Linked DNA regions of Callithrix jacchus. The protein of the gene in region 1 interacts with the protein of each later gene in a pairwise test. Links are inferred from orthologs where the notes say so. Each region holds a gene or a part of one and is shown in the gene's direction. Other genes may lie near its edges.

Region 1 (4,182 bases):
GCCACTCCAGCTTGGACCCCTGCTCCCTTTAAAAGAGCCAATCGGGATTAGTCTAGCTTGTGCGGTCTCACTCTAGCCAATAGGGGAATGACACAGGAGTAGGGGCCACCCCCATCAGGCATAAGTACCCCTTTTTCTCACTTGCCCACATATGTGGTCAGCATCGCTCCCTCAGTGAGCTGCACCCTTCTATAGAAATAAACTGCCTTGCTGAGAGGATTTGTCTTCGAGTGCTATTTCTTTTGCAGCATCAAACTTTTACTTATAACAGAGAACATTTCTGGCAACTATAACTCAGATGGTGCTAAGTTTTCCATTGTCCTAGGAAATTTCTCACCACTTTGTCTCTATTTTTTTGGGGGGGGGTGGTGTCTTGAGCACACCAAGCTTAATTTTACGTCAGCCTTCATTTTAGCTGTTCCCTGTGCCTGGGGTACTTTAAGTTTGGACTTTCCTATCCTTGAAATCCAAATCTAAACGATGATCTTTCCTACCCATCCTAGCTCCCAGCCACAATCACAGCACCTTCATTTTTTTTTTTTTTTTTTGAGACGGAGTTTCACTCTTGTTACCCAGGCTGGAGTGCAATGGTGTGATCTCGGCTCACCGCAACCTCCGCCTCCTGGGTTCAGGCAATTCTCCTGCCTCAGCCTCCCGAGTAGCTGGGATTACAGGCACGCGCCACCATGCCCAGCTAATTTTTTGTATTTTTAGTAGAGACGGGGTTTCATATGTTGACCAGGTTGGTCTCGATCTCTCGACCTTGTGATCCACCCGCCTCAGCCTCCCAAAGTGCTGGGATTACAGGCTTGAGCCACTGCGCCCGGCCAACCTTCATTTTTTTTTTGCAGGGTTTGCTGTGAAATTTCTTGTTTCTGTATTTATGCACTAGTTTATTAGTTGATAGTCCGTCTACACCAATGCAAGATAATGAGAGTAGACACTTCGCTGATTTTTATGGCTGGTTTGTAATAAATATTGATTGAATATGAGGCACCTGCTGTCTACAAATGTCTCTATTTTCACAGACGTCTCATAGATTGCATGAAAGAATGCATTTGTGGGTGAGTAGATGGGTGGGTAAATAATAAACAAAGACAGGGAGCGGATAACAGTGACTCCCATTCATTGCGCGCCTGTGACGCTCTGAGGTCCAGATGTCCAAACGCGGCTGCACCACGTGGCCGGCCCAGCACCACGTGGTCAGCTCCGCCACCTGTTGCAGTCCGCCACTGTCCCACCATGCACCGCTTCATGCTTGTTTTAGATGGCAAGTCAGACCTGATTTCCGGCCTCCGTTAGGTCGCAGAGGTCAGTTGCCCTAACGACCAGCTGGTACCCGCCTCTACGTTACGCCACTTCCTGTCACGCCCACTTAGAGCAGTAATGCACCTGCGCAGAAGGGAAGCAAGCCGGGATGCCCTTGTTCTGCGCAGGCGTGGAGCCCAGGGGCCGGGGCCGGGTGGCACCGCGGTGCGCAAGCGCAACCGTCGGTGGGTCGGGGATCGGTCGCCTGAGAGGTGAGTAAGGGGCTCCGTGCTGAGCCTGGGGGATCGGGGGTCTGCGGCTCGGGGCTCACGGGGCCCCAGAGCCCGTAAGAGGTTGGGGATTGTGAGGTCAGGGTCACCGCGACTCGCGGGGTCCTGTGAGTAGGTGGCGCGGAGGGGAAACTGAGGCCGGGAGGCATCGGGCAGGCCGTTCGAGCCCCGATCTCCCTGTCCCGGACCCCAGGTCCTGGAAATGCTGGTCCGCGGGCTGGTGGCGAGGTCGGCGGGAGGTGAAGGCGCCCCGGAGTAGTGAGCGCTCGCTGGGTGTCCGCTGCCGTCTCGCTCTTATTAACCGCCTGGAAATGTCGTTCCTGTGACTCGGGGACCCCCGTTTGTGGTGACTCAAGTCGGGGCTCTAGTCCCAGCGCCGCCAGTCCCTACCTCGGTGACCTTACCCAGCCTCTTGGCTTTTTGGAGCCTCAGTTGTCCCCTCTGTAAAACGGACGCTGTCAAAAGTCCCTGCCTGGGAAATGAGAGCCGCGGGGCCCAGCGCCAAGTGAGAACCCCGAAGAATTGGCGGCCGTTCGTCTTATTTCATGTTTAGAGTCGTCTTCTGCATATCTTGCTGGAGGTTGGGGCAATGTGGGATACAGGACCAGCCCTCCAGCACGTCTTACCCGCTGCGTAAACCTGGGTGAGTCGCCTCCGCTCTAAGCAAAGCGCCCCTTCTTTCGTAAACAGGAGTGGTAAAAGCAGATGTGTCGGAGGGTCCTTATGAGGGTAAACCCACATAGGATTCTTTGACGGGGTGCCTGGAAGTTGGTAAGAGAGAGCTGGCTTGAGAACGGCTGTTTTTGTTATTCGGGGCCAGAAGATTGCCGTGAGTGTGCATCTCAGAGGGTGAATGATTCTCCCATTTTCTTTTGTTTCTGTGTCTTTTTTTTTTTTTTTGAGACGGAGTTTTGCTCTTGTTACCCAGGCTGGAGTGCAATGGCGCGATCTCGGCTCACCGCAACCTCCGCCTCCTGGGTTCAGGCAATTCTCCTGCCTCAGCCTCCCAAGTAGCTGGGATTACAGGCACGTGCCACCGTGCCCAGCTAATTTTTTGTATTTTTAGTAGAGACGGGGTTTCACCATGTTGACCAGGATGGTCTTGATCTCTTGACCTCGTGATCCGCCCGCCTCAGCCTCCCAAAGTGCTGGGATTACAGGCATGAGCCACCGCGCCCGGCTGAGACGGAATCTTATTCGGTCGCCCAGACAGGAGTGCAGTGGCTTCATCTCGGCTCACTCCACCTCCTGGGTTCAAGCGATTCTCCTGCCTCAGCCTCCCCAGTAGCTGGGATTACAGGTTGGTGCCACCACGCCCGGCTAATTTTTTTGTATTTTTAGTAGAGACGGGGTTTCACCATGTTGGCCAGGCTGGTCTCCAACTCTTGACTTGATGATCTGTCTGCCTAAGCCTCCCAAAGTGCTGGGGTTACAGGTGTGAGCCCCCATGCCTGTCCTACAACAGCGTTTTAAAGAAACTGTTAAAAATGACAAAGGCAAATAGAGAACAGTGACAACAGGAAGGGCAGGAACACCTGGGGATGTCTGGGCTCCCGCACACTCATTTGTTTTTCTGTTTTTTGGTTTTTTTTGCTTTGTTTTGTTTTGAGACGGAGTCTTGCTCTGTTGCAATGGCGTGATCTTGGCTCACTCCACCTCTGGGGCCCAAGCAGTTGTCCTGCGTCATTCTCTCAGTAGCTGGGACTACAGGCACGCACCACCACGCCCGCCTAATTTTTGTATTCTTAGTAAAGAAGGGCTTTCACCATGTTGCTCAGGCTGGTCTCGAACTCTTGACCTCGTGATCCACCCGCCTCAGCCTCCCACAGTGCTGGGATTACAGGCGTGAGCCACCGTGCCTTGCCTTGTTTCTGTCTCTGATTATTCGTTTTGTCTGTCTTTTCCCTCCCTTGACCAGCGGGTCTCAACCGGGAACAGTCCTATGCCCCGGGGATACTTGGTGACCTTGTGGTTGTCATGATTTGGGGGACCTCCTGGTACGGAGTGGGTAGAGGCCAGGGATGCTGCTCACTACCCTGCAGTGCCTAGGATAGCCCCGCCCCAGAGAATAATCTAGTGTCGAATGTCAATCATGCTTTAAAAACCTTATCATATGGGTGGATCGCCTGAGGTCAGGAGTTTGAGACCAGCCTGGCCAACATGGTGAAATCCCATCTGTACTGAAGAGACAAAAATTAGCTGGGCATGGTGGCATGTGTGCCTGTCATCCCAACTACTCAGGAGGCTGAGGCAGGAGAATCCCTTGAACCCAGGAGGCTGAGGTTGCAGTGAGCCGAGACCACGCCATTGCACTCCAGCCTGGGTGACAGAGTAAGACCCCGTCAAAAATCAAAACCCTATGCTAGATCAGTGATACCTTACCAGCATGGGCAGCTGGGAGCGTGTGGCTCCGTGAAATCGTGAACGAAGTTTTGTGTGTGCACCCAATTTTGTGTCTAGGGTAATGGGTACTTTGGAGTTTAGCCTCTCAAGTCAGGCTGGTCTCAAGCTCCTGGATTCAAGTGATGGTCCACCTTGCCTCCAAAGTTCTGTGACGAGAGGCGTGCCCCACCACATCTGGCCTGCTTCCTCTTTCACTGAGGTGGAAACAGGCCCAGAGAAAAATGGCCTCCCCGAGGAACTT
Region 2 (4,684 bases), on another chromosome or scaffold:
CCAGACTGGAGTGCAGAGGCACGATCTTAGCTCACTGCAACCTCTGCCTTCCGGGTTCAAGCGATTCTCTTGCCTGAGCCTCCTGAGTAGCTGGGACTACAGGCACGTTCCACCATGCTGGATAATTTTCTGTATTTTTAGTAGAGACAGGGTTTCACCATGTTAGCCAGGATGGTCTCAATCTCCTGACCCCGTGATTCCCACGCCTCGGCCTCCCAAAGTGCTGGAATTACAGGCGTGAGCCACCGCGCCTGGCCTAGGGAGAGAGATTTTAGAGAATGGGAGTAAAGAGGCAGGTGGTGAGAAAATCCCAAGTACTTTCTCTGTCTTAGAGCAGAAGAAATAATGGGATAAAGGGAAAAGTAAAAGCCCACGGCCCAGAAACATTTGCTGGGTTGTTTGTATTTGTAAATGTAACCACCTCCCTGGCTCAGGTTACCGACCCGAGGGGGGGGACAGCGGGCGATTGTTTGGAAACAGTTTAAACAGTGACAAGAATTGAATTTTATTTGTTTGCTGCCGGTGGCTCATGCCTGTAATCTCAGCACTTTGAGAGGCCAAGGCGGCTGGATCAAGCGGTCAGAAGTTCAAGACCAGCCTGGCCAAGATGGCGAAACCCCATCTCTACTAAAAATACAGAAATTAATTAGCTGGTCGCGGTGGCGGGCACGTGTCATCTCAGCTATTCGGGGGCTGAGGCAGGAGAATCTCGAACCCCGCGGACGGGAGGTAGCGGGGCGGAGGGTGCACTGAGCTGAGGTCGCGCCATTGCACTCTAGCCTGGGCGACAGGGTGAGAAAAATAAAAATAAAAAAATTAGGGCCGGGCGCGGTGGCGCGTGCCTGTAATCCCAGCACTTTGGGAGGCCGAAGCGGGTGGATCATGAGGTCAGGAGATCGAGACCATCCCGGTCAACATGGCGAAACCCCGTCTCTACTAAAAATACAGAAAATTAGCTGGGCATGGTGGTGCGTGCCTGTAATCCCAGCTGCTCAGGAGGCCGAGGCAGGAGAATTGCCTGAACCCAGGAGGCGGAGGCTGCGGTGAGCCGAGATCGCGCCATTGCACTCCAGCCTGGGTAACAGGAGCCAAACTCCGTCTCAAAAAAAAAAATAATAAAATAAAATAAAAAAATAAAAAATGAAAAACTGAATTCCTCGTTACGCATTGCACAATAACCATAACGGTCATGAAAACGAAAGTTCGCCTCCAATCCCATCACCGCATTCAGTCACTCGTCTGCGTCCTCCCTGTCGGTCCGTCCTGCACTAACGCGACGCGACGCGACGCGCTCCGCCGGTGTCGGTGACAGCGCAGCGTGCACACGTTCCGATAAAAACGCGCGTTTTGCTGTTTGCTCCGTTTTGTATTCCCGAGGCGGCAACACGCACCTTCACACGAGCGGCCGTAACGGCTGCCTACGATCCCCTCCCGCACGGGCGTTCAGGGAGCACCGAAGCGTCCACGCCAGCCGGTCTGACCTTGTCGGTCAAGGTCAGGGGAGGCCGCCGGGTTCCCGGGGCGGGAGGCGTCGAGGCGGAGGTCAGCGCGCCCCTGGCGCGGCTCCTCCGGCACCTGCTGCCTTGGCGCCTTTTCCCCGCGACTTCGCCGGGCCCGGAGCGCCCTCCGCGGAGGACCCCGGGCGCGCGCGCTCCCGCCCCCCGGCGGTCTGTGGAGAGCGCCTCGCTGGGCTACGTGCCTCAGGAAGTGACGCAAGACCCCGGGGGGCGGGGGGGCGGGACCAGGCTATAAACCGCCGGTTCGGGGCCGCAGTGCCCTCAGAGAGCGCCGGGACCTCGCGTGGCGGCTCGGGCTCCGCCGGACGGAGGGCGCGCCAGGGTGAGTGACGCTCGTGTCTTCCCTTCATCCTGCGGGGCTTGCTCGGGCTGCAGCCCCGGTGCGGACCGGCAGCCACAGGGCGCCGCCGCGGGGCGGGAGGGCGGGAGGGCGGCCGGGCGGAGCGGGGCGGGAGGCGGGAGGGCGCCCGGGCGGAGCGGGGCGGGAGGCGGGAGGGCGCCCGGGCGGAGCGGGGCGGGAGGCGGGAGGGCGGCCGGGCGGAGCGGTGAAGGCGGGAGGGCGGCCGGGCGGAGCGGTGAAGGCGGGAGGGCGGCCGGGCGGAGCGGAGCGGTGAAGGCGGGAGGGCGCCCGGGCGGAGCGGTGAAGGCGCCGCGGCGGCGCTGCAGGTGCGCGGGGTGAGAGGCGCCGTTTCGCCGCGCGTCCCTCCGCTTCCGTGCCTTCCCCGCTCTCTGCCTTCTTCCCGCCTGCTGGGTCTCGGAGCGGCGAATGGCTTCCCTGGTTGCTGTGAGGGCGACGCCAGGTGTGCCCCGGTGGGCTCAGCCCGCCATGCTGCTTTCGGCTCCTCGCGGGTGAAAGCTGCGGGCCTCCCGCGCCGGGCCTGGGCTGCGGGTTCGGAGCGCGGCGCGGCCAGGCTGCAGCTGCGCGGCGCGGGGAGCACGTGGCTGCTCCAGGAAGTCGCCCCGGGGAACGGCTGGGATCTGTGGGTGACCTTGGGCTCCTGAACCTCCGCTGCCCCGGGCCCGGGCGGGCGCTGCTCTCGCGAGGAACGGGACAGAGCTGTCCCCGGGTCGGTGACCGGCGTGTCACCCGCAGGAGGTGCGGGTTCTGTAAACGGACACCTGGGCTCTGGCACCCCCTGGCCCTGCCTGTTCGCCCCGAGCGCGCATCCCGTTTTCGCCGGAGAATGGACCCAGCCTTGGGCGGGCGGGCGGGCGGGCACGCCGAGGATGTCGCTGGCAGTTGTCACCCAAGGCGGAGGCCGCAGGAGTGGCTTACTTGCGAAGGACACGGGAAATGAGCGGTGCGGTCAGAGGGCCGTGCTGTACTGACCACGCGGACGGGCCCGTGCGTCCTTTCTGCCGGACGGCGCTTTAAGGTGGCGGTTGGGAGGGTGGGTAAGAAAACATGCTCTGATTCAGCTCTTTTCCCTCTGCTCACTGCTCGTGGAGACCTTGGGTACGTCCCTTACCGTGCAGGGGACTGGATTCTGCGGCATTTTCCATGTTCCTCCCGGTGGATAAGAGGATTAAGGAGGACATTGTATTTGGCGACCCCATAACTTGTATGCTAAGCTCACTGTGAACACGAAGGTTAGGCTCTCTACAGGACTTGTAGACCCTGCTGGTTTTTTACCCCGTCAATGCTGGGTTACAATGTGCTTCTCGAGGGTTTGTCATTGATACTGCAGCGTTAGATACGGCATGGCATCCTCCAGTTTCCTTTGAAGTGGCTATCAAGGTATGGTGGCTGTAACCCTAGCCTGTGTTGAAGACGGTTGGATAGACAGCAGTTAGGCTAAATCTGCCCTAAGGCGAGGCAGTGGCTTCCCTCTGATAATGTACTTAAATGTCACGGAGCAAGGTTCCCAGCTAAACCTGAAGAACCACAATGAAAGCTACTTTGGCCAGGCCGCGTGGTTCACGCCTGTAATCCTAGCACTTTGGGAGGCACAGGCAGGCGGATCGCCTGAGGTTAGGAGTTCGAGACCAGCCCAACCAACGTGGTGAAACCCCGTCTGTATTAAAAATAGAAAAATTAGCTGGGCGAGGTGGCCAACGCCTGTAATCCCAGCTACTTGGAAGGCTGAGGCAGGAGAATCACTTGAACCCAGGAAGCAGAGGTTGCAGTGAGCCGAGATCGGGCTGCTGCACTCTAGCCTGGGCGACAGAGCAAGACTCCATCTCAAAACAAAATAAAACAAAATAAAAAAACTTCCCTATTAAACCATAAGAGTGGCAGGAATGGGGAAAGATTCCAGGTCCAATGTTTTCATTATGTTTTTCATATCATTTGAAATCTCAGGCATCAAGCATGCTCCAATACTATTAAATAATATTTTTACAGGTAGTTCAGTATCAGTTATTACAGGATAGGGAAGACAGTCAGAGAAGGCTTCATAGAGATGGCCCTTGAGCTGAGCCTGGAAGAAATGAGGAGGACCTCAAGGAACAGAGGAAGAATGTTAGTGGGTGAAAGCATGGGCTGGATTCTGTCCGATTTTGGAGAAAATAGACGGTAGTGAAGTTGTTAGGCTAAATGTGTTTAGAACAGAGCTTCTAAAGCAAGCAGAGAAACTTCGGTTTATCTGAGCTCCAAGGACTTGAAACAGTGGCCTGGTTTATAAACTGAGGTGGGCTTGTCAGTAGTAACAAACGTGGCTTACTTAAGAAAAGTGAAGTAGCGGCTTTGGGTATGTTTGGCATAGGTGAAATTTTGGTATCTGATCCCCACTGAGCTTCGTGTAGATCTCTAATTTTGAGTCTGTACAAAGAAGCCCCAAACCTCCAGATAAGTACTGCATTTAGAAAACTGAATAGAGTTTAATGCCGTATTTTAATAAAGTAGGAATGATTCAATTTTAAAGAAGTTTGGGAGCTGGGTGCAGTGGCTCACGCCTGTAACTTTAGCATTTAGAGAGGCTGAGGCAGGCGGAACACTTGAGGCCAGGAATTGGAGACCGGCCTGGCCAACATGGCAAGAAACTCTTTCTCTAATAAAAATACAAAAAGTTAGCTGGGAATGGTATTGTACGCCTATAATTCCAGCTACTCCAGAAACTGAGGCACAAGAATTACTTGAGCCTGGGAGGCAGAGGTTGCAGTGAGCCAAAATGACCCCATTGCACTTCAACCCAGGTGACAGAGCCAGACCCTGTCTCAAAAAGAAA
Region 3 (4,755 bases), about 29 Mb from region 1:
TCCCGCCTCTAGCCCCGCCCCGTCCCCTAAGCCCCGCCCCTCGCGAAGCCTAGCTGGAGCAACAGCGCCGCGTGGCGCCCGCCGGAAGGGAGCCTCAGTCTCTCCTACCTCTCCACCCTCACAGGCAGAAAATGCCGGTGCAAGTTCAACCAGCAGCAGAGGTAAGAAGCTCCACCTGGCCATCCCTAGCCCTCTCCCGCTCTGGAGGGCCCCGCGGGTGAGGCGGGAAGTCCCCCTGCCCCGCAGCCCGATCCCCATCAGCGACTATGTTTTAAGCACCTACTATGTGCCCTGGCCCAAGCCGAGCCATGGGCCCAAGCGAGGAAAAAAACCTCCCGCCCTTCCTGGCCGAGCTCCCAGGATAATGGAGGCGGTGGCCATGGGTTCCAACAGCCCACAGATAGAAAAATCACAAATCGTGATAACACGAAGTGCAGGAAAGAAGGAACGGCGGTGAAATGAGATCATCTCACACGCGGCTCAGTTTAGCTTGTAGTCCTGTTCCTAGCTCTTTGATTCATCTTCAAATAAAATGTTAAAGCATGGACAATGTTTGAATATGTTAGACAATTATAGATATTATCATAAGTAGTAGCCAATATTTATTGGGTGTTGTACCACGTGTCAGATACGGTTTCACTTCCTCTGGGAGGGAGGTGAGGTTATTAACTCCGTTTTACAGATGAGGAAACTGAGGCACAGGGAGGTAAAGTCACTTTGCTCAAGATCACTCAAGTGGAAGATGGGTTCTGGGTTTCCAACCCAGGCCATCACGTGGCAGTCTGCCAAATCCCCTTGACCATCCCTCCCCTACCAACTTCGTATCCCCGCCTCCAAATCCGCAGAGGTACTCACTGTTAACCAGCTTGGAAGCCTCCTGCCAGGCACTTAAGCTGCTCCTGGGTGCTCCTCACTTCTGGCGGACCCCGAGCCTGCTTCTCGTCCATATCTGGGCCTCCTTACACCAGTCTGAAAAGGAGGCTTGTACTTGGGGGCTGGTTCCTAGAAGGGCAGCCTCTCCCCGTTTCCATCCCGAAATCTCTCTGCTTCTGTCTTCCCAGGACTGGGGAACCCGATGAAGAGGAGGGAACTTTCCGCAGCTCCATCCGCCGTGAGTTTGGGGAGACCGGTTTTGGGGGGAGGGGGCTGGTTCCAAGGACCCCTTTTCCTGGCCCTCCCGGGTTGCGCAGAGGGAGGGACTGGATCTGAAAGTGGAGGGCAGGGAGTTGCCCCGCCGTGGGCCCCTCCTGCCCAGAAGCTGGGGATCCCCCTCTTAACTGTCCCCCGACCTCCGTGTTCCCCCCAGGTCTGTCCACCCGCAGGCGGTAGAAACACCTGGCACGATGGAACCCTGCCGAGTGCTGCAGGTCTGACACGGCGGGAGGAGGGAAGGGGGGAGGAAGAAAGGGCGGAACAGGGAGGGGGCCAAGTGCCAGGGTGGGAGGGCGGCGAGGGGGGGGGCTGGACGTACCCCCTCGCCTCTCATCCTTTTCACCCCCACAGGACTCCCCTGGCACCTGAGGTCTCCCACGCTCCACCTGCGCGCCCACCGCTCCCTCCGCCGCCCCTTCCCCAGCCCTACCCCGCAGACTCCCCCTGCCTCCCAGATTTCCAATAAAACGTGCATTCCTCTCGACAGCGTTTAGTCGGTTTCCGTCCCTCAGCGCGAAAATCCAGCGCTTCTGGACCCCAGCAGGGGGCGCCCCACCCTAGAGGAAGGGGCGGGGACGACAGTGGTGGGCGGGGGCGGGGGCGGGGGTGGCCTGCACGGGGGCGGGCTCCCCGGGCCCCCATTGGCTACAGGCACCCCCCCACGCCAGGGCTCCCCCCAGCTCCCCTCCACATCGGTCCGTCCTGCTTCCAGCTGCTGCAGCGCGCCTTCGCCGCCAAAGCATCCAGAAGCCCCCTGCTCCATCCGAGCATGGCGACCCCGACCCAGACCCCCACAAAGGGTGAGCGTCGTCTGGGGAGGGGGTTGTAGGGGGGCTCTGTGATCTGAAAGCCTAGGAGAGAGGGTGTTGGGAAATTCCAGCAATGGTAAGGCAGGGGAGTGAGGAGGGGGAGGTCCGCTCCTCCTGCGGGCGGAGGCCCCTGTCCTGCACCCCCCTGCTCGCCCCTCTGGGTCTCTGGGATACCCTCTCCCCGGCGGGCGACCTGTGCGAGACCTGAGGTTGGAGATTGGCAGTCCCGGGAGAAGGGATGCTCGGACAGGTCGCTATGGCAACCGGGTGGCTGGTCCGGCACCGTGGTGGTAGCAGACGGGAAGAGATGGGCTTGCAGGGTGGGAGCGGGTGGGTCTGCGGCCAGACACGCTCTGGAAGATTTCAGGGTCCCTGGGGTGGGCAAGAGAAGGGGAGGAGGTCCATGTCCCTCTTCTTTCCAGTGCTGTCTCCTGGGGTATATGTTTCCTGAAAGAGCCAGGTTCAGAGGAAAGGAGTGAGAGCTGAGGGAAGAGACAGAGAAGGGATAGTCAAGAGACAGAGGGAACCTGGAAGAGACAGAGACCAAGAAAGGCAGAAGATCCAGAGTCACAGACACAAAGACCCAGGAAGAAAAATAGAGGGACTCAGAGAGATTCTCAGTGGAAGGGAAAGGCAGGGAGCCATAGACAGACACAGAGAGAGAAAATGAGAGGCTGGGAGATAGTGGGATTGAGATCGCTGTGGAGAGAGAAGCAGAGACGGACCCATGGGGAGAGTGCAATAGAAAGAGAAGAAGGGAGCAGTCAGTGTGGGGTGGGGCCCAAACCACTGCAGTGAACCCCCATGGGTGGAAATGGGTGATGGGACCTTCCTTCCCAGCCCACAGCAGGGGTGGGTTCTAATCCCAGAGGTGCACTTGGTGTGCACATAGCTGCCCCTACTGCCCCCATACAGCCGCACACTGACTTCCATTCCACACCCATTAACCCAGTTATGCACCCGCTTAAACACCCGCTTCCACCGTCTACCCCTAATAACCCCCATTGCTCAGCTTGCTTCTGCAGAGAAGCAAGGCACAGACTGCTTCAAGAAAGAGCGGGTGCCCAGCCAGGGTCTCTAACACTGAGGGCAGGGCCAGGGGATGGATCAAAGTGCTGAGAAGCCCCTGGCAGTGAAGGGAACCCCAATCCCACTTATGGCTCCCTCCCTTCTGCGCTTCCCAGCAGGCGGGGGCTGCTGCACTGAGCCATATCTGCAGAATCCGAAGCAGGGCGGGGGGTGGGGGGGGCTGCAGAGGCTGGAAGCTACCCTAGGGAGAGGGGGCAGGGCTGAGGCAGCAGGCCTGGCAGGAGCCCAGGGCTTCTTTTTGCAGAGGTGGTGGTTAGCAGGATCGATGGCAGAGACGGGTAGAGGTGGGAGGACAGACTCTTCAACCCCACCTCTTCTGCCTCCCCCTTTCCCAGTCGCAGCATGAGAGGGGACCGCAGGTCTCAGGGAAATCCCGGGGGAGGAAAAGCATGTTGTGCATTACAAACTGCTTAAGGAAACTAATGAATGAATTGTTGGGGAGTGAGGGGGGTAAGAGGGGAGATCGTCTCCCTCCACCCTGCAGAGAATAGGAGGGAGAATTAGGGGTGAACAGAGAGGGATGCAGGAGCACAGGTGGGGCCGGGTCCCTATGCCTGAAATGGACCCTCAGCTTGGCCAGAAACCAGTCCTGCAGGGGCAATAGCAGGAGGTGCAAAAGGAGCAGAGGGGGTCAAGATTGAAACCTGCATCTCACACAGGACCCCACAGGGGACCCCACCCAGCCTGAGGTGCTGGGACCTATCACCTCTCTTCACCTCCCAAGATGCCCCAGTTGCCATAGTAACCACCTCCTTCCAGATATCTCCTTGGCAGCTGGCCAGGAGTAGTGCACATTCTTTTGCCTGACTTCTGGCCCCACCCTTAGCCCAGCCTCGCCTGACAGCCCAGGTTGCTGGGGCAGCAGGGACCCAAGGAGGATCTTCTGCATGGAGCACCAGATTCTGGCACAGGTGATCACCCAGTGGGCTCCCGAAATTTTGGGGAAGGGCAGGTGTGTGGAAAACAGGAGACAAATGAGACAATCCACCTTTTGCAGTCTCCTGCAACCTCAGAGTGCCTCATAATCATTCCTTCATTCATTCACCCCAGAAAACTTGAAGAGCCTTTCATAAATGTCAGGATGAACAGCAGCGATGAGTCAAACAAATTTACTCAGTCTCTGGTGGGGAAACTTACACGGAGCACGAGGGACCCTGAAACAGGGTTTGCCCATCTTGGTGCTTTAGAGTACTACCGTCCCAATTTTTGCTTTATTCAAATATACCTCATACTGCTACTTACCTAATTTTTTCCTTCAAAGGAGTAACTTTTTTGTTTTTATTATTTGAGACAGGGTCTCACTCTGTCACCCAGGCTGGAGTAGAGTGGCGCGATCATAGCTCACTGCAGCCTTAATGGCCTGGGCTTAATCTATCCTCCTGCCTCAGCCTCCTGAGTAGCTGGGCCTACAAGATGCTCAATGATACATCCAGCTAATTTTTGCATTTTTTGCAGCGATGGGTTTTGCTGTGTTTCCCAGGCTGGTCTCAAACTCCTGGGCTCAAGCAGTTCACCCAACTTGACCTCTGCCATGTTTCCCAGGCTGGTCTCAAACTCCTGGGCTCAAGCAGTTCACCCAACTTGACCTCTGCCATGTTTCCCAGGCTGGTCTCAAACTCCTGGGCTTAAGCAATTCACCCGACTTGACCTCCCAAAGTGCTTAGGATCGCAGGTGTGTGCCACCATGCCCAACTCAGGATTAGCT

What was found. The genes of interacting proteins can lie anywhere in the genome.
Region 2: the proteins of SGTA (region 1) and TFRC interact in binary tests that used the Homo sapiens proteins (3 or more experiments, as listed by UniProt). The two-hybrid records come from large-scale screens. The link is inferred for Callithrix jacchus from reciprocal best matches to the Homo sapiens genes SGTA and TFRC.
Region 3: the proteins of SGTA (region 1) and FXYD7 interact in binary tests that used the Homo sapiens proteins (3 or more experiments, as listed by UniProt). The two-hybrid records come from large-scale screens. The link is inferred for Callithrix jacchus from reciprocal best matches to the Homo sapiens genes SGTA and FXYD7.

The regions. Positions count from the first base shown.
Region 1 is NC_133523.1:2,624,970-2,629,151, reverse strand, and holds the start of SGTA (small glutamine-rich tetratricopeptide repeat-containing protein alpha), read left to right. Parts: upstream 1-1,382; 5' UTR 1,383-1,417; coding exon 1,418-1,520; intron 1,521-2,091; exon of another isoform or gene 2,092-2,181; intron 2,182-4,182. UniProt on the Homo sapiens protein: Co-chaperone that binds misfolded and hydrophobic patches-containing client proteins in the cytosol. Mediates their targeting to the endoplasmic reticulum but also regulates their sorting to the proteasome when targeting fails.
Region 2 is NC_133518.1:80,924,027-80,928,710, forward strand, and holds the start of TFRC (transferrin receptor protein 1), read left to right. Parts: upstream 1-1,780; 5' UTR 1,781-1,839; intron 1,840-2,028; exon of another isoform or gene 2,029-3,255; intron 3,256-4,684. UniProt on the Homo sapiens protein: Cellular uptake of iron occurs via receptor-mediated endocytosis of ligand-occupied transferrin receptor into specialized endosomes. Endosomal acidification leads to iron release.
Region 3 is NC_133523.1:31,480,803-31,485,557, forward strand, and holds the start of FXYD7 (FXYD domain-containing ion transport regulator 7), read left to right. Parts: upstream 1-1,851; 5' UTR 1,852-1,921; coding exon 1,922-1,952; intron 1,953-4,755. Other genes in the region: FXYD1 (phospholemman), read left to right, coding at 125-161, 1,062-1,111, 1,307-1,329. UniProt on the Homo sapiens protein: Associates with and regulates the activity of the sodium/potassium-transporting ATPase (NKA) which catalyzes the hydrolysis of ATP coupled with the exchange of Na(+) and K(+) ions across the plasma membrane.